2 linked regions of the Mytilus edulis genome follow. The protein of the gene in region 1 interacts with the protein of each later gene in a biochemical or structural test. Links are inferred from orthologs where the notes say so. Each region holds a gene or a part of one and is shown on either strand. Other genes may lie near its edges.

Evidence for each region.
Region 2: of the proteins of E3 ubiquitin-protein ligase MIB2-like (region 1) and ubiquitin carboxyl-terminal hydrolase CYLD-like, one has a biochemical effect on the other in vitro, tested with the Homo sapiens proteins (2 studies listed by BioGRID, with this or other methods). The link is inferred for Mytilus edulis from reciprocal best matches to the Homo sapiens genes MIB2 and CYLD.

The regions. Positions count from the first base shown.
Region 1 is NC_092356.1:40,902,175-40,918,874, forward strand, and holds the start of E3 ubiquitin-protein ligase MIB2-like, read right to left. Parts: upstream 8,137-16,700; 5' UTR 8,046-8,136; exon of another isoform or gene 7,627-8,045; intron 7,120-7,626; exon of another isoform or gene 7,005-7,119; intron 1-7,004. Other genes in the region: segment polarity protein dishevelled homolog DVL-3-like, read left to right, coding at 8,785-8,945, 15,183-15,252; uncharacterized protein, read left to right, coding at 10,400-11,443. UniProt on the Homo sapiens protein: E3 ubiquitin-protein ligase that mediates ubiquitination of Delta receptors, which act as ligands of Notch proteins.
Region 2 is NC_092348.1:95,289,420-95,306,183, forward strand, and holds the start of ubiquitin carboxyl-terminal hydrolase CYLD-like, read left to right. Parts: upstream 1-8,522; 5' UTR 8,523-8,667; coding exon 8,668-9,129; intron 9,130-15,706; coding exon 15,707-16,000; intron 16,001-16,764. UniProt on the Homo sapiens protein: Deubiquitinase that specifically cleaves 'Lys-63'- and linear 'Met-1'-linked polyubiquitin chains and is involved in NF-kappa-B activation and TNF-alpha-induced necroptosis.

The sequences.
Region 1 (16,700 bases):
GTGCCACTTCTTGTCTACTCTTTGAACTCTATATTTTTACATGGAACCACACATATACTTTTATTTGGCCTTACTGTTACATAGTCGTTAAGCATGATACATTGTAAGTGCCCATACCAAGTTTCCTAGGATATTTTTGAATATATCTCCCAATTGATATGATATTCCAGGGCTTGTATTTGCTATCATGGTATCCTTGATAGAGGGTTGCTGCTCACAAGGAAGCTATTAAACCAAGAGTTTCAAAATGTGAAGTTGAAATCATTCCTTCATAAATTTTATAGATGCCATCACAAGTTGGTTGACCATTATGGAGACGTAGTATAATTTTGTACCCTTTGGGCCCCTTATTCCTAAACTGTTTGGACCAAAACTCCCAAAATCAATCACAACCTTCCTTTTATGGTCATAAACCTTGTGTTTAAATTTGATAGATTTCTATTTACTTATACATCTGTACTTAAGTTATGGTGGGAAAAACAAGAAAAATGCTTATTTGGGCCCCTTTTTGGCCCCTAATTCCTAAACTGTTGGGATCTCAACTCTCAAAATCAATCCCAACCTTCCTTTTGTGTTTATAAACCTTGTGTTTAAATTTCATTGATTTCTATTTACTTATACTAAAGTTATTGAGCAAAAACTAAGAATAATGCTTATTTGGGCCCTTTTTTGGCCCCTAATTCCTAAACTGTTGGGACCAAAACTCCCAAAATAATTTCCAACCTTCCTTTTGTGGTCATAAACCTTGTGTCAAAATTTCATAGATTTCTGTTTACTTAAACTAAAGTTATAGTGCGAAAATCCAAGAAAATGCTTATTTGGTCCCTTTTTGGCCCCTAATTCCTAAAATGTTGGAACCAAAACTCCCAAAATCAATCTCAACCTTCCTTTTGTGGTCATAAACCTTGTGTTAAAATTTCATAGATTTCTATTCACTTTTACTAAAGTTAGAGTGCGAAAACTAAAAGTATTCGGACGACGATGACGACGACGCAGACAACGACGCCAACGTGATACCAATATACGACCAAAAAATTTTCAATTTTTGCGGTCGTATAAAAACAGAGAATTTTGCAATATTGATGCGAATTGTTTGGTATTTTAATTGAGGACACTTGCAGGTAAATAATTCAACCTCTGTCAATCAATATTCATGTGACCTTAAATTTTACCCCTTAGCTAGAATTTCATTCTGCATAACTTAGCCATCTTTAGTTTTGAAAGGGAAAAAATGCCATCATTGAAAGCGATATGAGGGTCAACCATTTCATTGACTGATTCAATCCACAAACAAGAGGCTCTCAAGAGCCTGAATCGCTCACTTTATATTTTTTGCTTAAATCTTCCATGAATGATTATTTTGGGTTTTCAATTTATATAAATGGTTCTGGAATTCTGTCATATCTTCTTCAAAAGCAAAAACAAGAGTGGACACACTGAAATGTCTCGTTTGTCTCGTGTTCATAATATAATTTATGATGAAAGTATAAAAAAACATTGTATACCCCAAGCATTAAATTATTGCTGTTTACAGTTTATCTACATGTATAATAATATTCAAGATAATAACCAAGAAGAATGTGTCCACAGTACACGGATGCCCCACTCGCACTATCATTTTCTATGTTTAGTGGACCATGAAATAAACGTGGAATAAATTCTCTAATTTGGCATTAAAATTAGAATGATCTTATCAAAGGGAACATGTATACTAAGTTTCAAGTTGATTGGACTTCTACTTTATCAAAAACTACCTTGACCAAAAACTTTAACCTGAAATTTGCACTATCATTTTCTATGTTCAGTGAACTGTAAAATTGGGGTCAAAACTATAATTTGGCATTTAAATTAGAAAGATCATATCATAGGGCACATGTATACTAAGTTTCAAGTTGATTGGACTTCAACTTCATCAAAAACTACCTTGACCAAAAACTTTAACCTGAAATTTGCACTATCATTTTCTATGTTCAGTGAACCGTAAAATTGGGGTAAAAACTATAATTTGGCATTTAAATTAGAACGATCATATCATAGGGCACATGTATACTAAGTTTCAAGTTGATTGGACTTCAACTTCATCAAAAACTACCTTGACCAAAAACTTTAACCTGAAGCAGGACAGACGGACGAACGAACGGACGAACGAACAGACGAACGGATGGACGCACAGACCAGAAAACATAATGCCCCTCTACTATCGTAGGTGGGACATAAAAACAGCAAAATTTCCTTAAAATTACCAATTCAGGGGCGGCAACCTAACAACGGGTTGTCCGATTCATCTGAAAATTTCAGGGCAGATAGATCTTGACCTGATAAACAATTTTACCTCATGTCAGATTTGCTCTAAATGCTTTGGTTTGTGAGTTATAATTATAAACTAAAAACTGCACTTTACCCCTATGTTCTATTTTTAGCGATGGCGGCAATCTTGGTTGGTTAACCAGGTCACCGGACACAATTTTTAAACTAGATACCCTAATAATGATTTTGGCCATGTTTGGTTAAATTTGGCCCAGTAGTTTCAGAGGAGAAGACTTTTGTAAAAGATAACTAAGATTTACGGAAAATGGTTAAAAATTGACTATAAAGGGCCATAACTCCTAAAGGGGTCAATTGACCATTTCGGTCATGTTGACTTATTTTTAAGTCTTACTTTGCTGAACACTGTTGCTGTTTACAGTTTATCTCTATCTATAATAATATTCATGATAATAACCAAAAACAGCAAAATTTCCTTAAAATAACCAATTCAGAGGCAGTAACCTAACAATCGGTTGTCTGATTCATCTGAAAATTTCAGGGCAGATAGATCTTGACCTGATAAACCATTTAACCTCTGTCAGATTTGCTCTAAATGCTTTGGTTTTTGAGTTATAAGCCAAAAACTGATTTTACCCCTATGTTCTATATTTAGCCATGGTGGCCATCTTGGTTGGTTGGCCGGGTCACTGGACACAATTTTTAAACAAGATACCCCAATGATGATTGTTGCTAAGTTTGGTTCAATATGGCCTAGTAGTTTCAGAGGAGAAGATTTTTGTAAAAGATAACTAAGATTTACGGAAAATGGTTAAAAATTGACTATAAAGGGCCATAACTCCTAAAGGGGTCAACTGACCATTTCGGTCATGTTGACTTATTTGTAAATCTTACTTTGCTGAACATTTTTGCTGTTTACAGTTTATCTCTATCTATAATAATATTCATGATAATAACCAATAAAGGGCTGCGCTTTTGTGCATGATACGCCGTTGCTCTTTTAACTTGTCTTTTATGCTTTAAATGAATTTATATGATCAACTAGAAATATATATACAAATCAAAAGGGATGTTACATTAATATATTCACCAAAGTTTCATAAAATCCCCCTTTTTTAAGTATAACAAGAATGTGTCCTCAGTACACAAATGCCCCACTCGCACTATCATTTTACATGTTCAGTGGACCGTGAAATTGGGATAAAAACTCTAATTTGGCATTAAAATTAGAAAGATCATATCATAGGGAACATGTGTACAAAGTTTGAAGTCAATTGGACTTCAACTTCATCAAAAACTACCTTGACCAAAAACTTTAACCTGGAGCGGGACAGATGGACGGACGAACAGACGGACGAACGAACGGACGCACGGACGAACAGACCAGAAAACATAATGCCCCTCTACTATCGTATGTGGGGCATAAAAATTCATTACTTAAGAAAACATAAAATCTAAAATTTATAAAAATGGAAAGGCAGCTTATGTCAATAGATATAAACAATTTATCAAAGTTGCATAAAATTTTGTGAAAGTGTTAGTTATTGTCCCAAAATTGGAAAATCCCCCCTTTTTTTAGCATAAAAATTCATAACACGGAAATGTAAAATCTGAAATTTAAAAAAAATTGAAAGAGAGCCTACATCAATAGATATAAACAATTCACCAAAGTTTCATGGACATTGGTGAAAGCCTTTTTGAGTTATTGTCCAAAGTGTTGAAAATCCCCCTTTTTTTAATGAATAAAGCCCCATAAATCCAAAACTTAAAATCTGAAATTTATAAAAATTGAAAGGGAGCTTACATCAATAGATATAAACAATTCACCAAAGTTTCATGGACATTGGTGAAAGCCTTTTTGAGTTATTGTCCAAAGTGTTGAAAATCCCCCTTTTTTTATGAATAAAGCCCCATAAATCCAAAACTTAAAATCTGAAATTTATAAAAATTGAAAGGGAGCTTACATCAATAGATATAAGCAATTCACCAAAGTTTCATGGACATTGGTGAAAGCCTTTTTGAGTTATTGTCCGAAGTGTTGAAAATCCCCCTTTTTTTATGAATAAAGCCCCATAAATCCAAAACTTAAAATCTGAAATTTATAAAAATTGAAAGGGAGCTTACATCAATAGATATAAACAATTCACCAAAGTTTCATGGACATTGGTGAAAGCCTTTTTGAGTTATTGTCCGAAGTGTTGAAAATCCCCCTTTTTTATGAATAAAGCTCCATAAATGCAAAACTTAAAATCTGAAATTTATAAAAATTGAAAGGGAGCTTACATCAATAATTATAAACAATTCACCAAAGTTTCATGGACATTGGTGAAAGCCTTTTTGAGTTATTGTCCGAAGTGTTGAAAATCCCCCCTTTTTTATAAATAAAGCCCCATAAATCCAAAAATTATAACCTGAAATTAAAAAAAAACGAAAGGGAGCTTACGTCAATAGATATCAACAATTCACTTAAATTTCATGGAAATTGGTGAAAGTGTTTTTGAGTTATTGTCCGTAGTGTGGACGATGGACGGACGGACAGACGGACAACGGTATACCATAATACGTCCCGTCTAAAAGACGATGGGCGCATAAAAACATCAAAATTTCCTTAAAATTACCAATTCAGGGGCAGCAACCTAACAACGGGTTGTCCGATTCATCTGAAAATTTCAGGGCAGATAGATCTTGACCTGATAAACAATTTTACCCCTTGTCAGATTTGCTCTAAATGCTTTGGTTTTTGAGTTATGAGCTAAAAACTGCATTTTACCCCTATGTTCTATTTTTAGCCATGGCAGCAGGGCTTTCCATTGAAGCCGGTAGCCGGCGGAAATCCGCCGTTTGCGGTGGCTTCAAGTGCCGGCTACTTCACTGACAAAAATATAAATTCAAAAAGAAAATAATATCTTTTTCAAATGTTTACAGGCAGCCGAGAGACGTATTTTCGCAAAGTCGCGGTCACGATAAACAAGGATGAAAAGTCAGTGTTTACCTTGGGCTAAATATAGTTCACATGAATTCAGGTCACTGATTGGTTGTCTGTTTAAAGTCAGAATGCATCGTTTCTTTTCAAAGATAACAAGAGAGACGTTCCGGTGGTCATTGAATGATAACAATAGAGACGTTCCGAGGGTCAATAACTCGTTGGCTTTTTTACTTTTAAAACGTGAAGACAATCAGATAGGATGACAATCTTATGTTATGGAATAATATCAGTCAAATTAAAGAAAGTGTAGTAGATCATAATGTTCAGAATCTTGAAAACAGTATCTTTTGAAGTTCATTTTTCAAGGCCCACGTGGTGTTCAGAGAATCAAGGTCAAAAACGAAAGTAGAATATTGTCGACTCGACCTCAAATAAATAACATTTCCAAATAATTTATGTATCCGACTTATTGAACAGTTTAAAAGAGAAAATCAGAGGATATATCAATTTTCTGTCAATGCTTGAAAAATAATTGTATGATTTTAGTTACGCGTACCAGTCTTTAGAGAGAAAAGGGGGGTCATTTGTTTACAAATGCACGTAGTTCTGCAAAATAAATCGATGAAGATTTTTAACAAACCGGATTATTATATAAATAAATCTCTTTTAAAAGTAAATGAATTTTAAGCATAAATAAATGAAAATAAAAAACTATAACATAAAAAAAAAAAGTCTTTGAGATTTTTTTTTTCTTTAATTTCATACATAAAAAATGGTCATTTGAAAGATGAAATTAGGTGCCAGGAGATTGCGAGAATGCAGGATTTTGCTCTATTTATGGCAGAGCTTCTGGGGGCCTTGAGCGGCCCCCAGACCCCCTGCCGTAAGGCACCAAGCTTACAGCTTGGTGGACGTCCGGCTTCGCCGAACGCATGTTACAGCCGCCTATAATTTTAATTCAGCCTTCTACTTCAATTTCAATGGAAAGCCCTGATGGCGGCCATGTTTTTTGATGAAATGGGAATTAAAACACAAACTTTATTCTAGATACCCTAGGAATCAATCAGATGAAGTTTGGTTTGAATTGGTTCAGTAGTTTCAGAGGAGAAGATCTTTGAAATAGTTTACGACGACGACGGACAAACGACAACGGACGCCAAGTAATGGCAAAAGCTCACATTTCCTTTTGGAAAGGTGAGCTAAAAAACAATTTCTTTAGGTAAAAACCATGATTAACATATAAATCGGTGAAGACGAATTTGACAGCTAATTCTCCTTTAAGGGAGTCCATATGGGTTCAGTAAACAGGATTTTTTATGCCATACACCAACAGGAAATCCTGAATGATACACCATTCAGTGTGTAAAGAAAGTGGAAACAGTTTCTGGGATCTTTAGCAAATTAAAGGGGCACTAGCTACGAGATATATACAAAATCTAAAATTTGATTTTTTTTTTTGTTCAATCAATAATGAAAGTGAAATAGTGAAATAACAATTCGCTTTTGCAGCCAAAAAGGTTCAATTTTGTCAAATTACGCTAAGAAACATTGATAATTAGTTATTCACTTGCAAGTGAATGAGTCAACCTCTTAAAACCCGTATTCATGTGAACTTCAATTTAACCCCTAGCTAGAGATAGACAACGCATGCATTGTACGTGTACTGGTTATTTAAAGAAAAGGAATGACAACAATGAAAGTGAAACTACGGTAAAACATTTGATTACTAATCGATGCACATAAAATCATTCTTATACTGTTAAAAACAATGAGAAACATCTATTTTTAATCTATAAAATATAATCAAACAGACCTATAAAGCTCCAATTGCACGTGTTGGTTTAATCTATTCATATCTTTATTTATGTTTACATCGCTTTTATGGTCATCTGAAGTCAAATAGATAGTTAATTGGATGGCGTCTGGACTAAAAAACAAACGAAACGAACCTATATATTATCTACCCCATGCTCTGTAAACTGTTTATTTTAGACGTTTGATAGTTAGGATTAATCACGATTAATGTTTTACATTGTTATAAATCAAATATGAGAATTTGAATCAAATCGGTGTTCATGAATTTGACAGCTAGTGCCCCTTTAACATGTACATCATTGCAACATGTACTATAATGTCTTTCAATAGTAATCAATCATTTCAGATTTTGAGATATACCTTTGCCTTCAACTCTAGTTCTGCATTTTAAATTTTGTCTGCCAGTTGGCAGTATTTTTTTTCTAAATTACTTCAATATAAATTTCCCATATTTTACCCATTAATTCAATCTACTATAGAAGCAGTATCATGAACTTATCAGTGCTTATTGATTATGAAATTAAAGTGGTGTTTAACAGGTCTCTTAAATTATAAAATGTACATGGATATATTTGGCAACAAATTATTTTTAGCTTGGAGATATTTTTTAAAGACTATACCTCAAAGTATTTCCAACAAATTTCTGTATCATTCAACATAATTTCAAATACATGTATATTTACACATCCTTCATGAACCATTTAGAAAAGGGACACTTATGTTAGTTCATAAGGGTCACAGTCACAATCATGTTATATGGATTTCATTGAAAATGGACACTGTAAAAATGCAGACTTTCATGATGTCAATTTACAGAGAAATAGATTAAACTGGCGCTAATGATTGGTTGTTGTCATAAAACGTTGTAATGAATTTAAGTTGTGGTTTCCGCATTCCTTACACCAAGTCTGGCCATGTTCGTGTCGACCTTAACATTTACAATTCAAATTTGGGACCACAGGTACCGAGAGGGCTTGACACTTTTACAATGGGCCAGATATATCAATCTTAACTGCGCTTTTCAGACTCCCAAAATTACCAACTTGTTGATTTAATACATCGTGATGCTGAAAATTCTGAATATGTTGCTGGCGGAAGTGCTTCCTTCGAAAATCCGCAGTGAATAAATGTTGACAAATAAAAATTGAAAAAAAATAAAATAAAGAAATATTTCTTTAGAAAATTCTCATCTAGTCACATGCCAATAAAATATTAAGAAACAAGTGTCTCAAAATGAATCTGTCTTAATCTCAAACTTTTTATTCTTATTTTACCAAAATTTTGCCATGTTTTGTTGAATAAAAAGGATGATTCATCATGTCTCATGAAATTCATTGGATTAATAATCTGTTAGACATTTGCAATTGTGGCTATTTCTATATATTTTGTTAATATTCATTTATTTAATGTACAATATTTTATCTGATGCTTTTTTCGGGCACTTGTTTTTGAGAAATTTAAGAGAACCATTTGAATGTCAATTACTAAATCCGAAACAAAGCAAAAGTCAAAAGAAATAGTTCTGTATGCGAAAATAGAGAAAATCATTACAATTTACCAATGGATAATTTCTTGATTTTAATAAAACTATCGATTTTTTTCTTATCAAGTGATGTGAAAGTTTAAGATATTTAATTTTCATTTTCGGAAACGAAAATTAACTGATTGACATACGGGTTTCAATTTGGCACTGAACAGAAGAAAACATTTGGACGCCATTTTCCACAGAAACTTGATAATCATTGTGGATTTAACAACATCAGACATCCTCCTTCGGGATGGAGGAGACCAAAATCATCTATTATATAGATGACGAAGACACTCCTTATTTAATCAAACTACCTATTCCCGCTGATCGTGTAAATCTTGGTGATTTTAAGAACGCTTTAAACAGACCAAATTACAAATTTTTCTTCAAATCGGTGGATGATGACTTCGGGTAAGTTAAAGCCAGTTGCACACCATGAAAGATCTAGGTGCCCGCAATAATGTTTAATTCAGATTTTCAGAGTATTAGTTAATACTGTCACTTTTGCAGTACGAGAAAAACAACCAGTAGACTACTGGTAAAAAAATATAATTTACAAATAACATAATTTCATTGTATTGCATTAATATACACCTTATCGTGTATTGCATTAATATACACCTTATCGCTATTTGTCTGCCATTACTGGATATCACACAGGTTCACGTAAAATTTTGACTTCATAAAACAAGATATCCGATGCCACAATGGAAAAGTGATTGTTGTTGACGTCAAAAGTTCAAGCGGCCGGGTCAGCCGGGGTTGGCGATAAGGTCAACGGAAAAAAAGTCACAGGAAAAAAAGTCACAAAACCTCTAGGAAAAAAAGTCACAGGAAAAAAAGTCTCAAGAAAAAAAGTCACAGGAAAAAAAGTCACAATTATAAAATTATTTGAAAGAAGTATATAAAATGTTTTATAAGAAGTATGTTGGAATGCACATGACAAAAGTGATTTTGTATATCAGCTGTATGAAATAGATAATTTAAAAAAATGTAGTTTTGTTAAATAAAAATAATACTACTAGTAAAAGTGTATCAGATCAATTATTTTTAAATAAAAGCTTTTAAAATTTATATAGGTAAAGCGCACATCGATATTAACAGATTTCGTTTTATTTATGGGTTAATAAAATAAAAAAATATATGTTTTTCATCATTTTTTTTTTTAATAAATACACCAAAAAAATGAAAAGTGTATTATAATTTATGTTCTCTTTTTAAAACCAAACTCTTAAACAAACAGGATAAGCCATTTGTTTCCTTTTCATTCATGATAAGCCCTAGTTGTTTTTCATGGGTAGGGCTTCCTTCCAAAAGAGGAAGTGAAAGGTCTGCAAAAAAGGGAAAGGTGCCACAAGAAGCCACTAATTAATCTCAACAGTCACTGTCAATAAATGTTGTAATTACATAATTATTGTTAATGGGGATGCTTTGTTTGTTTAACATGTAATTGAAGGATTCTCATGAAATTGGTAAAAACACAGCTATAGAAAAACAAAAATCACAATAACATGTGGTCAAACCATATCATAGACTTTCTAACTTTGACTCAAATTAAAGAAAATGTATGACTTCATTTACTTTTCTATAAAAGAAAAAAATAATTTCAAGTGTTATTAAATCAAGTATGGAAGTCATCAAGAGCAACAAAGGTGGTTCCAAACTTTGCTACCAGGGGTACATGTACACTATTAAAGCATACTACCAGAAAGACAGTACAGTGGTGGAAATGTGTGAAGCGATCCAGCACTGCATGTAAAGGGTCCATTACAACTTCTCTGCAGAATGAAAATCCAACTCCTGGCCAGCCACACAACCATGATCCAAGTGATATTAGCATAAAGTACACTAAGTCCAGGTACGCAATGAAAGAGCAGGCTGCTCTCACCAGAGACAAACCAAGCCAGATCTTCGCCCAGGTTGTTTCAACATGTGAAGATGATGTGCAAGCAATGATGCCCAGAGAAGAGAATTGTAAACGCACCATGCGCAACCAGCGTCCAACACCACCTGTTCCCCAGAGCTTTGTAGATGTCACACTGCCAGCAGAATTCACTATTACAACCAACCACCAACAGTTCCTACTGTATGACAATGGACAGAATGCTGAGAACAGAATGTTGGTCTTTTGTAGTCCTGACAGTTTAAGACGTCTTTTTAAACAGCTGTACACCATCCGAGTACCTTTTAAAGATGTTACAGTCACCACAGTGTATGCTTTCTTGCCGAACAAGAATCAAGATACATACAGAGAGTTATTTCAGTCATTGGTCGACAAATGCCAAGCCAGCCACCTACAGTTAAATGTTCAGACTGTGGTAACAGACTTCGAAGATGGCGTTCTACGTGCAGTGTCGGCAGTATTTGGCCGCCATATCAACAACCAGGGATGTTTCTATCATCTTACACAAGCAACTTGGAGAAAGATACAGAGCCTTGGTTTGGTTCCCCACTACAAGATTAGCGATGACTTCCGCTTGTTCTGTGGTATGATGGACGGCCTTGCCTTTCTGCCTGTAGCTGATTTGCCAAATGGTGTCCACCTGCTAAGAACTTTGTGTCCAGATGACCCACCAGAAGCAGCTGAACTTCTTGATTACTTTGATGCAACCTATGTAAGTGGCAACATGAGACGTAACCCAGCACCAGGTCAAGGTCTCCGTTTAGTAATGCGCCGCACTCCACCCATGTTCCCACCAACTATATGGAATGTCCATGACGCAACAGTCAACGGTGATTCAAGAACCAACAATGTATGTGAAGGTTGGAACAACAAATTCTTCAACTTAGTAGGTTATGCCCACCCATCAATATGGAGAGTAGTAGAATGGTGCCAGAAAGAAGAAGCTACAGTGAGAACCTTGATACAACAAGACGCTGTAGGTGTGAGCCAAAATTTGTTCCTGTGAAAAAAGTTCCAGTGGAACTAATTTCACAGGAAATATGTTCTGGGAGAACTTTTTTCACAGACAATTTCTATATAATTTGTTCCATCTCTATGAAATAAGTTCCACACTTTACTTGGTGAAATAAGTTCTGGGTTGGTGAAATTTGTTCCTTACCTAGTGAAATAAGTTCCATGTTTGTGAGATTTGTTCCTCACCTGGTGAAATAAGTTCTTGATTTGTGAAATTTGTTCCTCACCTGGTGAAATAAGTTCCTTGTCTGTGAAATATGTTCCACTGGTTAAACAAGTTTTCCTATATACTGAGCACTTGTCATTATAAAATACATGTATTATATTGATAATGTAATAAATAAAAAGTGTAAGCATCCAATTGGATCATGTGGAGTAAAGCAAAAGTTTAATAACATGGCAGCTCAAGTAATAATACTAAAAATGGCACTTATGAGCCAGGAAAGAGTAGAATAAGAAATAATAATAAAAGTCATTCCGAAAAAAGTATTATAGTTGAAGATGAATATTTGTACTTTTTTGAAAAGCACAAAGTGGCTGATCAATTATATTAAAAGACATAAAGAAACAAAATACACGCTCTTTAAAAACTGTGCAATGACCATAGCTAAGTACATGTAGGATTAGAACACCCATGACAGATCATCAGGAAACATGGAGGTTGAATACCACATAAACGATCAAACATAGATACATTATCATCGCTTTTATTTCTTATCTTCATGCTAAAGTCATTCCTTCAATTGCAAATGTACCCCATGCAAGCACAGAACTTATTTTCTGTGAAATAGGTTTGAGCAGAACATTTTCATTGATTTCTATAAAATACCTACGTTTAAAACTAATATCCCAAGAACTTATTTCACTTTTTTTTTTAAATTTTAATATTGGAACAAAATTGATGGTGCTGTGATTTTTGTTCCAGAACCTATTTCACACTTGGTTAAAAAATTAGTTCCGGAACAAATTTTATAGTGCTGGAACATATTTTCTGTGACATAAGTTCCAGTGGAACTTATTTCCTATGAAATTTGTTCTGATGGAACAAATGTCACGCCGGAACAAATTTTTTGTTACATAGGCACCCCACCAGTTAAACGGGTCCAACAACGTTATGTCCAACTTCAACTAAGACTTCAAAACTTGTGCAGAGACTTGACATCAGGCAACAAGACCATTGCAGAATTTCTCAGGGGTGTTGGTTGGAACATAAGACTTAACCATTAGTTGTCATCTCTGCTATATATCAAGTGAACTTTAAGTAAAACTATGTGCATCACATGTTCATTATCTGTTGTTCATTGATAAAGACATTTATTTGTGCTTGATTATTTATTATGTTACTATTATTGACTTATATTATTATGATGTATACATTAAATCTACATTACTACATTCAATTCGTTTTGCTTAATTTATTTCTTTAACACTATATCAACAGGTCATACATAAAAAAAAAGGTATGAAACAAAAAGAACTTCAACATGTATCAGTACACGATCTTGTACAGGTGACCTATGTTTGTTAATTTCTGTGTCATTTTGGTCTCTTGTGGACAGTTGGGTACCACATCTTCTTTTTTAATATATCAATACACGAACTTGTACAGGTTTTCTTTTGCTTTGCGATTTTACGTGTAATTACCAAAGCAAAAGAGCATAAGACTTGTAGAAAAATACGTTTAGCTGTCTATAACTAGCATCATTCAAGAAAGATATGAAACAAAACTTATTACAACAAAACATACATTGTATCAGTTCACGAGCGTCTACAGGTTTTCTTTTGCTTTTGTAGAAACATATGCTAAGCTGTCTAATTTGCTTCTAATGTAAAAACACATGAAACAAAAATAATTACAACAAAACATGTATCAGTAACATTACAAAAAAAATCCTTTGAATGACATTGAAGACCTGTTGGTGAACGTCTGCTGTTGTCTGTTCTATTGTCGGGTTGTTGTCTCTTTGACACATTTCCTAGTTTACATTCTAGATTTTATAATAAAACAAAAGGACATGGGATACAAAAAACACAAAACCATACTTGCACATGAACAGCAGAAAAAAAACACACACAGACAAAAGTCATTACCAATATATAAGTGCAGATCATATGACAGTTTTCATACAAAATATTAATTGTGACTTTTTTTCCTGTGACTTTTTTTCCTGTGACTTTTTTTCCGTGACTTTTTTTCCGTGACTTTTTTTCCTGTGACTTTTTTTCCTACATTCGGCGATAAGGTATATTGGAAAATAAAGAGGCAAAAGAAACCAAAGTGATATTTAAACTCATCTATTAGTTTAAAACTAACTGACAATGTTGTGACACAATAACAAACAAGATTATTCAAAACACAACATAGAAAACAAAATACAAGCAACATAAACCCCATTGATGAGGGGGTAGGAGGGGTCCTGATCCCGAAATCCCGGGCTTAAAAACACGAAATCCTGAGGTCCTGAATTTAAATAACTAAAATCCCGACATTCTGAAATTCGAAAAAAAAAATTCCCTGATCCTGAAAAGGTTAATATTGAAATCCAGAGCTTAAAAACACTCGATCCCGGAGTCCCAATAAAGGTCATTACCCCCCCATTGATACTGGGGATGCAGTACTGTCAAGTTTTCATGAAGCAAATATGTAAGATTTAGCCAAGATTGTGAAGATAATAAAGAAAATATGTTTAAGATTGAAGGAATTGCTGCTAAATAAGCATGAAAATTTGTGAGTCTTGGCAGCCATGTGGATGTCTTAGGGGTACAAGTCGGACGACATATGGTCAATACAGCAGCTCCTCTAGAAAAAGACAAATATGCACAGATTTAAAGTCATTTCAGCATTTATATATATTCCTCTGGCATCTAATATTATTTTTTCTGAAATAATTTCTTCAAATAAACAAGATCCATATTTGATCAGGTGCAGATCTGATGTTTCAGAAGTTGTACTTGGTAGATCACATTCTTAAGAAATTTTGTTGTCACACAAGAAATGCCTAACATCACAAGGAAAAGGGATTGTTGTATGAAAAATAATCCCAAATGTTGGATTGAGGAGTTTTAAAAAAAATTATCTCCTTTCCTTTGATCATGTTGATGTTTGAAAAAATGGAAAACTGTGTACTCATATACCTTTACAAAATGTAAATCATACTTACTGGATAGACAATCTAAAACCTTAATTTCAATCTTAACAGACACACACAATGAACAAAAAATAAACACTAAACAGAATATGATGAACAGCCCCAATGGCCTATGACCCCAGTTGAATAATTACTCCTTAAACAAAGGGTCAGTTGAGGTAATATTGATTAATTAGTTTTCAGATAGATCATAGACAAGTCACCTGATATAAAAAAAAAATAACAACTTTGAGTTTTTTAAGGCCCTGTTTAGTGGGAAAGGGCATTGAATATTAACTTTGTTCATCTGTATGTCCTGAAATTGGTTTCCATTCTCATGATTCTTTAAATTTAGTTAACCAAATGTTATGAAACTTATATACATGACAATTAATGCTTATTTAATACCACAAAACACAGATCAAATTTGAATTGACAATTTTTGGGTGGCATCGCTTTCACCTATCTGAAGTAATGCCTCTTTATAAATGGCAAAGTAGCCAACTTTTTTCGTTTCCATTCCCTTGAACTTAAGTTTGCTTCAACCAAATGTTATGAATCTTGTATACATGAAAAATATGAATGACAAATTTATAATTTCAGTGTTGTGAAAGAAGAAATTGTTGATGATGAAGCAAAGTTGCCATGTTTTAATGGCCGAGTTGTTTCTTGGGTATGTACACAATTTTGATAAAAGTATTTTAGTTTACATGAAAATGAAACATTTATGAACCAATGGTTTTATGAATTCTCCTGGTCTCCACAGGACTTTAAAAACTAAAAACAATAATTTTGTTTGCAAAAGTATGAGGACACAAAATATGTTCGATTGTGTCTTAAATTATATTTTTGCCAGTGTCTGCTATCATCAGCATTAAGCTTTAATATGGCATTAATTATATAACTTTCCAATATTTTCTCCTATGAAAGTACTTGGCCAATTGCTACCAAACTCGGACACATTATCCTTGGGTATTCATTTAAATTTTTAAAATAATTTCCCTTTCATGAAACTACAAGGCTAAATGTTTTGAAACTTTATAATATCTTAAAAGCTTTAATTTGGATTTTTAATGACAAGTCATATAAATTATATTCTGGTGCAGTTGTGCTTATCTCATACATGTACAAAATGTATCAGACATACAACATGGGTTTGTCATTTTATCATAATTCAGAAAAAATGCAAGTGTATGTGTCTTTTTGACTGGACCTTTTGTCATAACAGCCACACATTTCCAGTTGTAAAAGTGACATGATGAACAAGTACTATCAAAACATGCCCTACTTTAATATCCACTTATTACAAATTACAATCAAGGTAATAGGTTAACTATAGCTAGTTGTATGACAGCTGAAATTTACCGATTCATAAGAGAGGCAAAGAAATGATTTGCATCTAATTTATTTAGTCAACAATATTTAATATTGCAGCATGTTCAGAAATATTTATTTAAATATGACAATTATGATTTGATCACGTTATCATGATAAATGGTAGAAATACAAGTTTTAAGCGAAATATTGTCAGAACTACACTGTTTTATGTTTCAAATGTGCATGTGTGTCATTTGATTTTGCATCTGAATGCTTAAAATATCATTGAAACCCTAATCTTAATCGTTTTGAGTATTTTCTAGAAAGAAAGATATGGAAAGAACTATTCATACTCAATCATGCTTTGTACAGATTATATGAGGGTGGTAAAGGGGGATCTGAACGCAGAAACACCTGAAATAAAAATCACAAAAAGTTGCATAGTCGGTACTTAAACATCCTGTCAATGTGTTTGTATTATCTTTCATTTTTATGCAGTTAAGCTGCATTATGCGAGCACCCTAGATTTGTGTTCTACCCAATAAATGCTAAAATACTTGCCATTGTTATTATCTAGCTGGCTACTATGTTATATATAACTAATTGAACACTTTTATTACTTTTTATTCTGGATTACAAAAAATATGATCAGAAAAACCTTAAATGATCATCGAATCTCCAAAAGTTTTGAAGTTACACATAGGAAGTAGTGCTCATTAGGAATCCTTGTGTATTTTATTATAACCTGTGCTTTTGGCTAAGATGTCAAAGAACAATTGTATGAAATACTTAATCGCCGAAAAT
Region 2 (16,764 bases), on another chromosome or scaffold:
TGGTTGCTTAACGTTCAGTGGAACATATTTCATGTATGTTTAGGACGATGAAATAGCTATATATATATATATATAGTGATGACCTAAGGTTATTTGCTAGTATAATAGTATAACATCTATATTTCATCGACAATCATATTAATTTGTATTTATTTTCCATGTTTCCAACTAAGGTTTGACTTGAAATAACGACGAATTATTGATTGTGATTGTTTTAATGCCAGTGACAAATATTTCATGTATGTGTAGGACGATGATATAGTGATGGCCGAAGGTTGTTTGCTAGTATTATAGTATAACTTCCATAGTTCATTGACAGTCATATTGATTTATAACTAGTTTTCATGTTCTGTATAAGGTTTGAAATGATATAGCGATGAAATCTTGATTGTGGTCGCTTAACATCTAGTGGCACATATTTCATGTTTTTTTAGGGCTATAATATAGAGACAAGGCTGTTTGGTAGTATAATAGTATAAGTTTTATGGTTCATTGACAATCATACTAGTTTGTACGTAGTTTCCATGTTACCTTCAATGGTTTGACATATTAATGAATTATCGATTATTGGTTGATTAACGTTCAGAGGCAAATATTTCATATATTCTTAGGACGATGATATAGGCACGGAGATGACATAAGGTTATTTGCTAGAATAATAGTAAAACTTTCATAGTTCATTGACAATCATATTACTTAGGTCTTTCTACCTTTCCGTGGAAAGACCTATTGATTTTGTTCTGATTATTAGGTCTTTCCACCTCTCCGTGGAAAGACCCATTTATTTGGTTTTGATTATTAGGTCTTTAAACTTTTCCGTGGAAAGACCTATTGGTTTTGTTCTGAGATTTATTGTTTTTCTTCCGCCACATTTTGTTCTTACGTAGTATTGTGGTTTCGCAAGATGTCGCCTAGATTTTTTCGCATATGATATCGAACAGTTATTGCGCTTTTGAAACTGACCCTGTTAAACCGTACACTTTACATTGTAAGTGTTATCTCCCCGAACACTGTTTTCCTTGTGTCCACTACTCCTTCACAACCGTAAAAAATTACGACAAATTTATTTTACCAAAGTGCTTGCTATATCTTCAAGATGATGACTTGGATTGCACCAAAGTTCTTTCCCCTTATGCATTTGATATAAGTGATATGCATATAAACTCATAAACCGTAAGCCGTATAAACATAGAGTCGCTTTATTGAAGGTCCTTGGGTCCCAACTTAGAAAATTAGGTCAAGGACAAGGTCATGTTCAAATTTTGACATTCACTTCAAACTGCTTTTACTCAGAAAAATGTTCGGGGTAAAATTTAAAAAAATGTGAGCAAAATGTTACATTACACTGTAAGTCGAGAGTATTCGTCGAAATTATACGCTTAGTATTTGGGGGGGTTTTCATGCCACTGAAATGGAAAAACTAACAAATTAACTAATTATAGCTTCAGAATTTACATCTATCATGATGCGTACATGCAACTTATCTTTGTAAATCATCCAATGCCAACAAAAACCCATCTAGCCCTCCCTTTTTTTTGGAATCCAATTTCTATTTTATTAAAAAAAAATGCTAATCCTTCTTATTTTATGAATAAATTTCTTTCTGAAATACAAATTTATTCCTGCAAAATAAAATCTGCTCCAAATCATGTACATGTAAATACATTCAAATAAGAGAATTGATGAATATCCTATAGTCAAAGCAGGTACTTGATGAATATCCTGTAGTCAAAGTAGTTACTTGATGAATATTCTATTATCATAGCAGGAACTTCATGAATATCATATAGTCATAGCAGTTAAATGATGAATATCCTATAGTCATAGCAGTTAAATGATGAATATCCTATAGTCATAACAGCTTCTTGTTGAATATCCTACATTCAAATACGAGAATGGATGAATATCCTATAGTCATAGCAGTTACATGAGTAATATCATATTGTCATATCAGGTACTTCATGAATATCATATAGTCATAGCAGGTACTTGATGAATATCCTGTAGTCAAAGCAGTTACTTGATGAATATTCTATTATCATAGCAGGAACTTCATGAATATCATATAGTAATAGCAGTTAAATGACGAATACCCTATAGTCATAGCAGTTAAATGATGAATATCCTATAGTCATAACAGCTTCTTGTTGAATATCCTACATTCAAATACGAGAATGGATGAATATCCTATAGTCATAGCAGTTACTTGAGTAATATCATATTGTCATATCAGGTACTTCATGAATATCATATAGTCATAGCAGGTACTTGATGAATATCCTGTAGTCAAAGCAGTTACTTGATGAATATTCTATTATCATAGCAGGAACTTCATGAATATCATATAGTCATAGCAGTTAAATGATGAATATCCTATTTTCATAGCAGTTAAATGATGAATATCCTATAGTCATAACAGCTTCTTGTTGAATATCCTACATTCAAATACGAGAATGGATGAATATCCTATAGTCAAAGCAGGTACTTGATGAATATCCTGTAGTCAAAGCAGTTACTTGATGAATATTCTATTATCATAGCAGGAACTTCATGAATATCATATAGTCATAGCAGTTAAATGATGAATATCCTATAGTCATAGCAGTTAAATGATGAATATCCTATAGTCATAACAGCTTCTTGTTGAATATCCTACATTCAAATACGAGAATGTATGAATATCCTATAGTCATAGCAGTTACTTGATGAATATCATATTGTAATATCAGGTACTTGATGAATATCCTATAGTCATATCAGTTACTTGATGGATATCCTATCGTCATATCAGGTACTTGATGAATATCCTATAGTCATAGCAGTTACTTGATGAATATCATATTGTCATATCAGGTACTTGATGAATATCCTATAGTCATAGCAGTTACTTGAGGAATATTCTATTGTCATAGCAGGTACTTGTTAATTTTTCTATAGTACTAGCAGTTACTTGATGAATATCCTGCAGTCATAGCAGTTACTTGATAAATATCGTATAATCATATCAGGTACTTGATGAATATCCTTTAGTCAAAGCAGGTGCTTTTTGAATTTCCTACATTCAAATGCGAGAAAGGATGAATATCCTATAGTCATAGCAGTTACTTGATGAATATCATACTGTCATGTCAGTTTAATGAAGAATATTCTATAGTCAAAGCAGGTACTTGTTCAACATCATATTGTCATAGGAGTAACTTGACGAATATCATATAGGCAAAGCAGTTGCTTGTTGATTATCATATAGTTATAACAGGTTCTTTTTTAATGTTCTATTGTCATAGCAGTTACTTGATGAATATCCTGCAATCATTGCAGTTACTTAATGAATATCCTATTGTGATAGCAGTTACTTGAGAAATATAACATTGTCATAGCAGGTACTTTATGAATATCCTATAGTCAAAGTAGGTACTTGATGAATATCATACTGTCATAGCAGTTTAATGAAGAATATTCTATAGTCAAAGCAGGTACTTGTTCAACATCATATTGTCATAGCAGTAACTTGATGAATACCCTTTAGTCATAGCAGGTACTGGATGGATATCCTACATTAGAATAAGAAAATTGATGAATATCGTATAGTCGAATCAGGTACATGATGAACATCCTATAGTCATATCAGTTACTTGAAGATATCCTATTGTCATCGCAGATGCTGGATGAATAATCTGCAGTCATAGCAGTTACTTGATGAATATCCTGCAATCATAGCAGTTACTTGATGAAAGTCCTCTTAAGATAGCAGTTACTTGAGAAATATCTTTTTGTCAGAGTAAGTACTTTATGAATATCCTATAGTCAAAGTAGGTACTTGGTGAATATCATACTGTCATAGCAGTTTAATGAAGAATATTCTATTGTCAAAGCAGGTACTTTTTCAACATCATATTGTCATAGCAGTAACTTGATGAATACCCTTTAGTCATAGCAGGTACTGGATGGATATCCTATATTCTTAGCAGCTACTTGTTGGATATCCTACATTCAAATTAGGGAATTGATGAATATCCTTTAGTCAAAGCAGGTGCTTTTTGAATCTCTTACATTCAAATACGAGAAAGGATGAATATCCTATAGTCATAGCAGTTACTTGAGGAATATCATATTGTCATATCAAGATCTTGATGAATATCCTATTGTCATAGAAGTTACTAGATAAATATCTTATAGTCATAGCAGCTTCTTGTTGAATATCCTACATTCAAATACGAGAATGGATGAATATCCTATAGTCATAGCAGTTACTTGATGAATATAATATTGTCATATTAGGTACTTGATGAATATGCTATAGTCATAGCAGTTATTTGATGGATATCCTATTGTCATAGCATGTACTTGATGAATATTCTATTGTCATAGCAGTTACGTGTTGAATATTCTATATTCAAATAAGGGAATTAATAAATATTCTATAGTCAAAGCAGGGACTTGGTAAATATCCGATCGTCATAATAGTTCCTTGATGAATATCCTATTGTCATAGCAGGTACTTGAAGATTATCATATAGTCATAGCAGTTACTTGAAAGAAATCCTATTGCCAAAGCATGTACTTGATGAATATCCTATAGTCGTAGCAGTTACTTGATGGATATCCTATTGTCATAGCATGTACTTGATGAATATCATATTGTCATAGCAGTTACTTGTTGAATATCCTATATTTTAAATAAGGGAATTGATGAATATTCTATTGTCATAGCAGGTACTTGATGAATATGCTATAGTCATAGCAGTTATTTGATGGATATCCTATTGTCATAGCATGTACTTGATAGAATATTCTATTGTCATAGCAGTTACGTGTTGAATATTCTATATTCAAATAAGGGAATTAATAAATATTCTATAGTCAAAGCAGGGACTTGGTAAATATCCGATCGTCATAATAGTTCCTTGATGAATATCCTATTGTCATAGCAGGTACTTGAAGTTTATCATATAGTCATAGCAGTTACTTGAAAGATATCCTATTGCCAAAGTATGTACTTGATGAATATCCTATAGTCGTAGCAGTTACTTGAATGATATCATATTGGCAAAGCATGTACTTGATGAATATTATATTGTCAAAGCAGTTACTTGATGAATATCCTATAGTCAAAGCAGTTCATGATGAATATCCTATTGCTATATCATGTACTTGATAAATATCATATACTAACTCAAAGCAGGTACTTGTTGAATATCAAATTGTCATAGGAGTTACTTGACGAATATCATATAGGCAAAGCAGTTACTTGTTGATTATCATATAGTCATAACTTTTTGAATGTTCTATCGTCATAGCAATTGCTTGATGAATATCCTGCAATCATTGCAGTTACTTAATGAATATCCTATTGTGATAGCAGTTTCACAAGAAATATAATATTGTCATAGCAGGTACTTTATGAATATCCTATTGTCAAAGTAGGTACTTGATGAATATCGTAGTGTCATAGCAGTTTAATGACGAATATTCTATAGTAACCTATAGTCATAGCAGACACTTGATGAATAACCTATAGTCATAGCATGTACTTAATAAGTAACCTTTAATCATAACAATTACTTTGATTTAAATCATATAGTAGAAACAGTTACTTGATGAATATCATGAATATTCTTTAGTCAAAGCAGTTACGTGAAGAATAACCTACGATCATAGCAGTCACTTGATTAATATCCTATAGTCATAGCACTCTGTGTTTTTTGGTTTGTTAGATGTATTTTTGTTTGTACCCAACTGATGATATAAGCTTTTTTCCACTAAATTTAATTATAGTTTATTCTTATGTTGTACTGTTTTATCACTGTCACAGGATATTAGGAGGGTTAGTGTCTTCGAATAAGTTTTAACCCACCACATTCTATATGTGCCTGTCCCAAGTCAGGATCCATTCAGTGGTTGTCGTTTGTTGCTGTAAAACATATTTGTTTTCATGATTCCGTGCATAAATTGTTTTTACATTTGTCATTTTGGGCCTTTTATAGCTATGCGGTATGGACTTTGCTCCTTATTGAAGGCCATATGGTAACATACAGTTGTTAATTTCTGTGTCATTTGGTCTATTTTGGAGTTGAATCATTGGCGATCATACTACATCTTCTTAATTTTTTTTATGAAAGTCTGGTTCTTCTTTTTAGTTATCGAAGAGTCATGCACAAACAACGGGAATATTGGAAAATAACCTTTAATACTTTTTTTCATTTTTGAAGAATGTAAATGAATTTTCCTTTTTTCTAAATTGCACTCATTAATTCTATATCTATTTAAAAATTTACTGAGAAAAAAGTAATCAAAATTACGGTATATAGCTCTTAGGCAGATTTGAATTTCGGGGGAGGGGCAAGGACTTTTTTTTCTGGACAAACTTTTTTTTGGCGAAAAGACGAAAACAATTTTTTTCTTTCAATTTTAGAATTACATATAGTGGCAGCTGAGGATGAAACAAACACTTTTTTTTCTCAAGGTCAAAAACAAATATTATTTTTCTCCAAAACCTGGAAACAAACTTTTTTCCAAAAAAAAATCCATAGCACCCCCCACCCCCAAAAAAAAAATCAAATGCTACATATTAAAATAGGTCATTTCTATAATTGTAAAAATACTTTATCTGAGTTATCTCCACTAATTTGGCAAAGCTGAAAACAAATTACAGCCGTAAAAATGAGAAAACACATACCAACAATCGATCAAATGTTGCTTTAAAAATGAATTAAACAATACAAGCCACAATTGTATTCAAGACAGCAAGTCTGTTGTCTGTTTTTATAGTAAACATTTACTGAAATCGTTTTTGTTCATTGAGAATATATTCCTAAGACAAGCTCAAGTATGTCAATTAATTCATAGGGCATCATGTGATAGTTGAAGTTACCCAGTGCAATCATTTTGTGTCCAACTGTGTCTTTAAAACATATCAAATGTTGTATCCACTGTCTGCTGTTCTGTAGTGTGTTAGGTCGCGGCTTTTTTTTTAAACTTTAGCCTCCCACTTCGGCAATAACAAATCATAGAGGGGGAGGACGGTTACCCGGGACAAATGTTTTTTTGTCAATTCATAAAAATATCGTTATAAGTAACAACTTTCTGTATTCTAAGATCTGCTATGACATCACAACATTGAATTCACCAAGGTACACTTAAGCTTTTATCTATAGATGTCTTATTAAAAATAATATTCACGGAATCTTAAAGTATTTTCTATGTTAAACATATATAATGTCTGAGATATTTTCTTATGCAAATAAGTTTAAAATTTTCATTTTTTTTTAAGATAATAGAGTAATCAGATATGTAATTTGACCCATATCTTGCGGTTCATCGATTTTCGGTAAAATCAAAGAAAAACCGGCAAGATTAACATTGTTAAATACTTCATTTATTTGTTATTCTGTTTATTTTATTATTTTGAGTTTATGCATTAAATATCAATTTCTAACAAAACATGATTTTTTTTTACATTTAATAGTACTCCTTCTTGTCAAGAGTGTCGTATTATAAGTTTTTAGTGCACTTAGGAGTCCTAATCAGTGTTAAGACACACTAACTTCATAAAATATTATTATATGAAATGATATATAGATTTCTGAACAAAAGAACAACCCAAATAATTACACACAAAAAAAGAACCATAGAGCATAAATCTTTAAAGATTTCTTGTTTATGAATGTTGAAAATTTGTTTCTTACTGTTAAACAGTCTCGAATTAATTTATTGATTATAAAATTCTTTAAAAAACACTTTTTCCCTGTTATGTCAACGTTTATTGGGGTCAGTTGTTATAGAAATTTAACTTCTGACACCTCTTAGCAATATTACAGGTAAACATGTGATCATCTAGCCACCTGTAATATGCATTTACCTGTAAAAATCAAACCTTTAAGAGAAAAAATACAAATATACATGTATATGATAATAAAAGGTATTTTACTTTGTAAACGATAGAGAAAACAAAACTTTATTTATGTGTGGAACTTTTAAATTTTACAAGAAGCTTCAATATTCGAGGATTGAAAATTGGAAACTATGTTCCTCTTGTGTCCATTCTGTTGCACGAATAGTCCGATGCACTTTACCATCATAGTTAATACAAGGATGTGAAGTCCGAAATTTATTTTTTAAAACACCTGTTGAACATGTTTTAGAAAGGGTAACTTTTGCTTTAAGGAATTATTTTCAAGGAATTAACTTCCAAAGAAAATAAGTTGACCGCCAATCAAAATCGATTTTACAATTGGCTAGCATTTCCGGTTTTATCTAAAATTATCAAATTTACGACTTGTGTTTTAATTCACTTGGTCGAGGTTAACTATCATTGTCGAAACAATTCACCTTGTCGACTGTAAATGCATTATCAAAGAAGTAACTATCATTGTCTGCGCGCGAGTCACATTAATTAGACCATCTATGATGGTCGACCGTAAAGTATACTTTACGCCGTACATCTATAATGGTCGACCGATAATCTATCATTGTCGCCGATAAACTGTGATTATCTATTAATGTGCTTTACGCGTTCCATAAGTATCATATGTCGTTCGTTGTCTTTTGTTGTGGTATTATGACGTATCAGTCTATTTTAAGCGTTTTGGAGTTCCCCAAAGTTCGATAATGATTCCCCGTTTGATGATGCCACGAATATAAACAAATGTCGATGAAATAGGACTGGATATGTCTGAATATCCTCAAGATGAATACTATATACTTCTTACTACAAAGATAGGGAAAAAGAAGGAGTCAGGAATTCTTAGAAAATCATATTCTCGTGTGGAAGTCCTAGCTGGCACACTTCTGCTTAGAGTAAGCGATAGTGAGAGGGACGAAAATGGGATTGCAATTTGGACCCTAGAAACATTAGAACCGGAAAACATTGAAGTAGAATGTAAACCAGTATTCGATGAAATAAAACAAATTGATAGATTGGAACTACAACTATTACAGCCTATCCCAGTATGTAGTGAAAGGATTGCAGTTTACATGAACAGTAATTGGCTTCAAGAGGGCCTCAATTTAAAGGTTGGAGATGGAGTTATTGTTTATTTAAAAGGTCACCCTGAGTTACAGGGCCTTCTCAGGTATAGAGGAGAGCTACCAGGACAAAAAGGAATCCAATTTGGAGTCGAATTAGCTCCGGTAAGAAGCCCTATCCTCAAAATATTTCAGAGGTTTATCATAAGATACTAGTCCGCGGAACAGTATCGGACAAAAATATCCGGATTTATTCGAGATATTACTAAAATTTTCTGCACATGTTTCTCTGTTAAACATGTTTTCAAGCATTATGAAGTGAGTCCCATATCTCTGTTCTTGATGATGCAAGATTTACAAAATGGCTTTTCATTATTAACATAATTTTAGATAGAAACAGAAAGTAAAATAAAAGATGGAAAGTTTGAATTAAATTATGTCAGAGGTCAGGAAATAACAGGTAAGATGAAAATACACTGATTTCTAAAATCTAATTTATTACAATTCAGTTAAATTTAGTAATAATGCAACATGAGGTGTCGGCAGGACTTATTTAAAATGAAAGTACATTTTGTACCTGTACATTTACCTATTAAAATCATGTTTAAATTAAAGCATAAACAGTCAGAGATATTTATAACTCTATAGGGTACAGAAAATAACTTGCGTGTGTGATTACAGTTACTTTCATGAGTTGTCTACTCTTTATTCCTTAAATTTTTTGAAATCTGTAATAACATAATATATTTGTTATTTGTAAAATTATTTCATTTATAGTGGGCTCTAGTGAACTCTTGAGACTTTGCGCAGAAACTAAATACATAGCCTTGATAACTAATTCTTTAATTTAATTAATACATTTTTTATTAACCATGGTAAATCAATAAGACGGAGGCTATTAAGGGATAAACTTAGCTGTGATAACAAGGCTAGGTTATTAAAAGAATATAACTTTTTATATACATGATATAAGACACTTGGGAATTACAGAGAAACTTGTGCAGAACATTCATGACATTACATGCTCTAGATCTGGTCATTATTTCTTACAATAAATAAGAATACATATATATATGATATAGAGAAGCTGTGACAACACCCTTTAGTTATTACAGGCAATTTTTTTCTGCAATAACATATATACATGATATAGGTGTACTATGCAAAATTGACAAACTACATGTATGAACTGTTATACATTGTATCTTTCAATAGTTAAGTTTACTAATAGACAAAAGTAATATCAAGAGAACTTTTATACATTTAAACTAAACTGATGATGTATATTGTCCCTTTGAAACATGTAACATACATATATGTTATCACAGTTCTTTGATTTTTCAGTCCACAATAACAAATGTATGTTATTTTTCTGTAATAACCCGATAGAGTTATATCCCTGACTGTTAAAATGCAGTCATCTTTTGTAACTTGTTTAATAAGTCAATTGAATTCCTAATTTATGAAACTTGATTAAAAAGTGTGTACAGAGCTAACAAATTTATACAATAATTCAGAAATTATTGCGTGCATTTATTATCGCGATTTTGTCATTTTAGACTAAAATTAATCTATAAATGCGATCTTAATTTTTGCAATATTGAGAAATATCCAATAAGTTCATATAAATTTTTCAAAACGAGAGTTTAAATTATTGCAATGTAAACCTTTGGCATTTTTGCATTAATAAAAACATCGCAATAATTTCTGAATTTATAGTATTCATATTTCTGATTCCTGTTTTTCCTGAAATTAAGGATAAGGACAATGAATAGTACCCCAGAAAATTTTGTTAGAATATATACAAAATATAATTATTTATCATGTTTATAGAATGTGACAATGCAAAAGTACATTGTACAAAAGTATAAGCAGATAAGACTTTTTACATGTAACTAGTATAGATATTTAATATTTAAATTTTCCTGATGCCAGATGAATACTAGAAATTGAAGGCATTATTTATATATTTCATGTATTTAATTCTACATTTTCTAATTCTGTAATCATGCATACATGGCACATGTTTACTTACATGAACAAGAAATTTAACTACTTACAGAGTACATTGTACATACATCAGTTTCTTCTTTAAAATTTAAATTCATCTTATAAATTGTCCTGGATGGAAATTTCCACCAATGAAAACAAACGAAGCAGACTAAGGTATCAACTTACAAATGTACATGTATGTAAAAGTAAAGGAAGGTTATACAGGTCATGAAATTCAAATTCTTTGAAAAAAGGATACATGTGCCATTTATAACTTGTAACATAGATGTACTATTCATGAGTTATAACTTTGTTAAACAAGTGAAGTTATATTAATTTTGTAGTATAAAATTTCAAAACTCCATGAAAAAACCCATGTTATGCAATGCTAAAACAAACATTTAAAAAATAGTAATAATATACAGGCAGCATACAGTCCAATATACAATAACCATGGTAACAGACATAATTTATTGTCGAGCCTGCAACTTTTGTTGCAGAAAGCTCGACATAGGGATAGTGATCCGGCGGCGGCGGCGGCGGTGTTAGCTTACTTCTTAAAAGCTATATATTTTAGAAGGTGGAAGACCTGGATGCTTCATATTTTGTATATAGATGCCTCATGTTACAAAGTTTCCGTCAGTCACATGTCCATTGTCCTTGACCTCATTTTCATGGTTCAGTGACCACTTGAAAAAAAAGTTCAGATTTTTTGTAATGTTAAATTCTCTCTTACCGTAAGTAATAGGATAACTATATTTCGTATGTGCGTACCTTGCAAGGTCCTCATGCCCGTCAGACAGTTTTCACTTGACCTCGACCTCATTTCATGGATCAGTGAACAAGGTTAAGTTTTGGTGGTCAAGTCCATATCTCAGATACTATAAGCAATAGGTCTAGTATATTCGGTGTATGGAAGGACTGTAAGGTGTACATGTCCAACTGGCAGGTGTCATCTGACCTTGACCTCATTTTCATGGTTCAGTGGTTATAGTAAAGTTTTTGTGTTTTGGACTGTTTTTCTCATACTTTATGCAATAGGTTTACTATATTTGTTGTATGGAATGATTGTAAGGTGTACATGTCTAGCGGGCAGATGTCATCTGACCTTGACCTCATTTTCATGGTTCAGTGGTTATAGTTAAATTTTTGTGTTTTGGTCTGTTTTTCTCATACTTTATGCAATAGGTTTACTATATTTGTTGGATGGAATGATTGTAAGGTGTACATGTCTAGCGGGCAGATGTCATCTGACCTTGACCTCATTTTCATGGTTTAGTGGTCAAAGTTAAGTTTTTGAGTTTTGGTCTTTTTATCTAATACTATATGTCATAGGTCAACTATATTTGGTGTATGGAAATATTTTATGGTCTATATGTCAGTCGCGCAGGTTTTATTTGACCTTGACCTGGTTTTCACGGTTCATTGCTCAGTGTTAAGTTTTTGTGTTTTGGTCTATTTTCTTAAACTATAAGCAATAGGCTCAACTATATTTGTCATGTTTGTTGTATGGAAGCATTGTTAGCTGTACATGTCTGCCTGGCATATGGTTCAACTGACCTTGACCTCATTTTCATGATTTATGTTAAGTTTATGTGACAGTCATAATAAAGCTTTATATTTAGGAGTATCAACATAATATCAATGATTAGTAAAGAAGGCGAGACATTTCAGTGTGTGCACTCTTGTATTGTACAAGGTCCTATTTTTTGTCAGGAAAGTACATGCATTCTTTTCTTTCTTTCAGAAATTGACAGACCAGCTTTTTTTAGTAGTTGTTAAAGTCATATCTATATATATATGGATTTATATTTTGGAAAACAAATTTCAAAAAGTTTTGAATAATAAAACTTTCAATAAATATTTCAGTTGTTTTACATGCATGTAGCATGATGTTTTAGGGCATCATATCTTTTCAATTCACCTATCCTTCAACTTTGGTTTATCTGATATAAGACAATAGCAATCAAAATCAAGGAGTAAACAAAGACTCATAAAACCAAGGGACATTTACATCAACAGTTATAAATAATAAATAAGAAACAACACAAACTCCACTAAAAAACGGGAGTGAAATCAGGTGCTCCGGAAGGGTAGGCATTTCCTGCACCGTATACGGCACCCGTTGTGTTATTTCTTTGTTCAGTTTGGTAATAATATGTATATATACATGATATATATAAGTTTAAACATTCGTTGGTTTATTCTATTTTTCTCCTATACCCAAATGTTCTTGTAACAACTTTTTCCTCAGATTTCTGCAAACAAAACCTACAAATGTATAGAATCCAAAATGCAGGAATCATTGCATAAAAATATTGTGTTGATTTTTTGGGCCTTTTTGGAATATTAGCTGTGTCACAGATATATGGTTTATTTGTTGCTTATAAAAGGATATACATTTTGTACCTTTACACGAAAACTGGCAATCATGGTCTATTAAGATTAGAGTCAAATGCACTTGCCAAGAGCTTAGTTTTAACTCACAACCTACATTTTTGGAATAAACTTGCTGTCAGGCAATCTGTAGACTTTTACCATTGACTCCTTTCCGTGGCTCTTGACCATGTTGACCTTTTTGTGCTTTACATTAGAAACAACTCAGATTCTTAAGATTATCTTGTTATGTTAGAATTCTGATATTAAGATGATAGTCAGACCCAAACCTCTCATATTTGGTGATTTGAATTCAACATTGTTTTAAATTGGAAGATAATTTTTACAGTTTGGTTTGTACAAAAATTATTTATTGATATTTGTATTTAGGATTATTAGGATCAAATAATAAATGCATAAATATATAAATATTTATAAGGAAAATAATCTGATTACCAAATTTGAATGTGATCAATTCTGAAATTATTGCCATTGATTTTCTGGATATCAGACTTACACAATGTCCTCCAAAAACATTGCAAAAAATAAATCACAAATCATTGCCACCAATTGCAACTGTTCATGTATTTCCTGCATACAGGGGCATGACTTTTTGAAGTTTTTCATTCATAAATTTTTTAAATGGATTTCGACAGGTTAGGAATGTTGGAGATCTATTTTTAACTTGATAGAATTGTTATTATTTTACTTTTCTTTCGAGAAAAATGTCCTGGTATCTGGTTTTACCTGACTTTTCACCGCATTGAAACTAAATGAATCGCCTTAAGGAAGTTTTCTTAGCTTTTGACTACATAAAGTTATCGTTTAGTGTCACTTACATTTTGACCTATTACGGAAAACCAAATCTGTGTTTTTATTTGTACGATCAGACCACTATTTTAAGGAGTGGTTCACCATGTCGTGGGGTAAATGATGCTTTTTTATTAATATCATTGCAATGATTTCTGTTTGTAACTTCCGTGGTCGATTTTTTGAAAATCTAAAGATTTACAAATGTATGTAGGCGTAATTTTTTTGGCATACTATCAAATATTTATGTCACATACATGTAGGCCTTTTTTTTTTTTTAAGATATTGTGCAAGCTTGCACTGATCTAGAAGACCTGCTTGATACAAGAAAAACAAAAAAAAACAGTTATTATTCCACAAAATTATGCATGGAAGACATGCACATTTTCAAATTTTCACACAAACTTTTTCTCTCAACAATTTCTAAGTATTCTTGTCTTGATAATTTGAATAGATCTGTTGCATATAAAAATGATACTTTGATCTTTTTGTCAGCAAGCACACAAGATAATGAGTCAGTGATATCCTAACATGCCTAACAGACTTATCAATGTAATAAACAAAATCTTAATTATCTATCTGTTTTGTGGGATGTACCAAGCCTGCATCCCTCAAAATGTAACCAAAGGAAGTGAAATATTTGCTTGTTGTGATCTGGGAAATGAGGACCCTCCATTTTGTGACTTTCAGGTGACATTTTACAAAATCATATCAATACATTTCCCCATAACAAAATGTAAATTCACTTGTGCATTAGTGATTGACATCAAATTGCTGTTGTGATGATCTTCGAGGCAGCAGAAAGACATTTATTAATGCTGGACTAAATATGTTGAGAGTAATATAACTTATCATGCTAATGAGGTATGATTGAGAACTATTCTGTACTGCAAATTCTGAAATTGTTTCCTGGCCTTCGGCTGTTTTCTGTTCTTCGGTCGGGTTGTTGTCTCTTTGACACATTCCCCATTTCCATTCTCAATTTCATTATGCAAATTATTGCTGCAAATTTGTCATTTTATCCCAAAATGACTTAATATTATTGTGATACTGAGAGAATTTTGCCATCAAATCCAAAATGCCAGTTTAAATTATTGGGATTACAACCTAGCTTGTTTTTTTCCCCAATAATTAAAACATCTTGAAAGATATTGAACTGACCATGCACACCAGCTTCTTTATTGCTCATTGTTGAAGGAGTGAGGTAAGGTGACCTATAGATGTTAACTTCTATGTCATTTGGTCACTGGTGGAGAGTTGTCTCATTGACAATCATACCACATCTTCATTTGTTATATGCATTGTACACAACTAATATACTTTACACAAGAGTTACTAAACTATGATTTAAGGTCACCTTCTGATCAAGAGTATAATGAATTCATAAGAGAGGTGACTTCTGAATGTGGTATTACTACAGTGGGACAAGAAGAGTGTGACGTGACAGGTTTTTGCTTAATTGAAGTGACCTTCATAGCAGTGACCTTAACAGCAGGTTTGATTGTACATTCTGAATGTTTAAGCAAATATTAACCTCAATAACCTATGACTTTGTGTATTACAGGAACATAGAGGTAAAGGTACTTGTGATGGAGTATTCCGTAAGAAACGGTTCTTCACTTGTGAACCAAACTGTGGGGTGTTTGTGCCTCTGCATAAAATCCGAGCTGATCCAACATCTAGACACGCTGTTAATACAGCTACTGCAAGTTTACGACAGGAAATAGCTGAATGTGGTCTAAGGATCGGTAACCAGATTGTCTGGCTCAGTGACAATGGACCTGAATATGGAGAGGTCAAGTGGGTCGGGGTATTACCGGACTCACGCAGGAATGATATAACTGTTGGAGTGGAATTTGTAAGTAATAATCAGTGTATCATGTTTTTGAATATAAACAGTTTATGTACACCAAAATATTCAATTACAGGCAAAATCATTGTCAGACTTGGCATCTCTATTCAAAGAATGACAGAACTTGTTTTCTACATGATTTGTAATGAAAAAGGAGGCATCAATATGTAAATTTTCAGTCAAAGAGATCAGTTCTTCTTTTTATTATCTTAGTTTCATTGGAAATTTCAAACGACACAGTCTAAAGTCATGTTATTTACCATTGCATGGTGTTCCAGGCATTCACATACACATGTCAAACAAAAAAAAAAACTGTTAAAAAACAAAGAACATACACCAAACTACCAGGATCCTACATGTAGTTCCTGTTTGGGACATTCATACATGTATATAAGCTAGTACATGAAGTATATATATATATATGGTACTAGAACACAGCTGTGATATCACATGTCCAAGACTAAATTAAAGTATATAACTATGTGTAAGCCTTATTTTAGTATTGGTATTGTCAACTGATAAAGTCATGCCGATTATATAATACACAGTTTTCTCTGCTTTCAAATCTTTCTGTTTGAACCTGTCGACCTGGAACTTATCAATTATTGGTAATATTTTAAATTATTTGGAAAACAAAAGGTCCTGGAATGGAGTATTATTTAATCAACAGCATTGTCCTATATTATATTAGTTATAAATAAAGTTGAATTCTTTGATTCGCTGTTTTACGTCATGCCCGCTAACAAATTGAAAACTGTACCTATACGTCT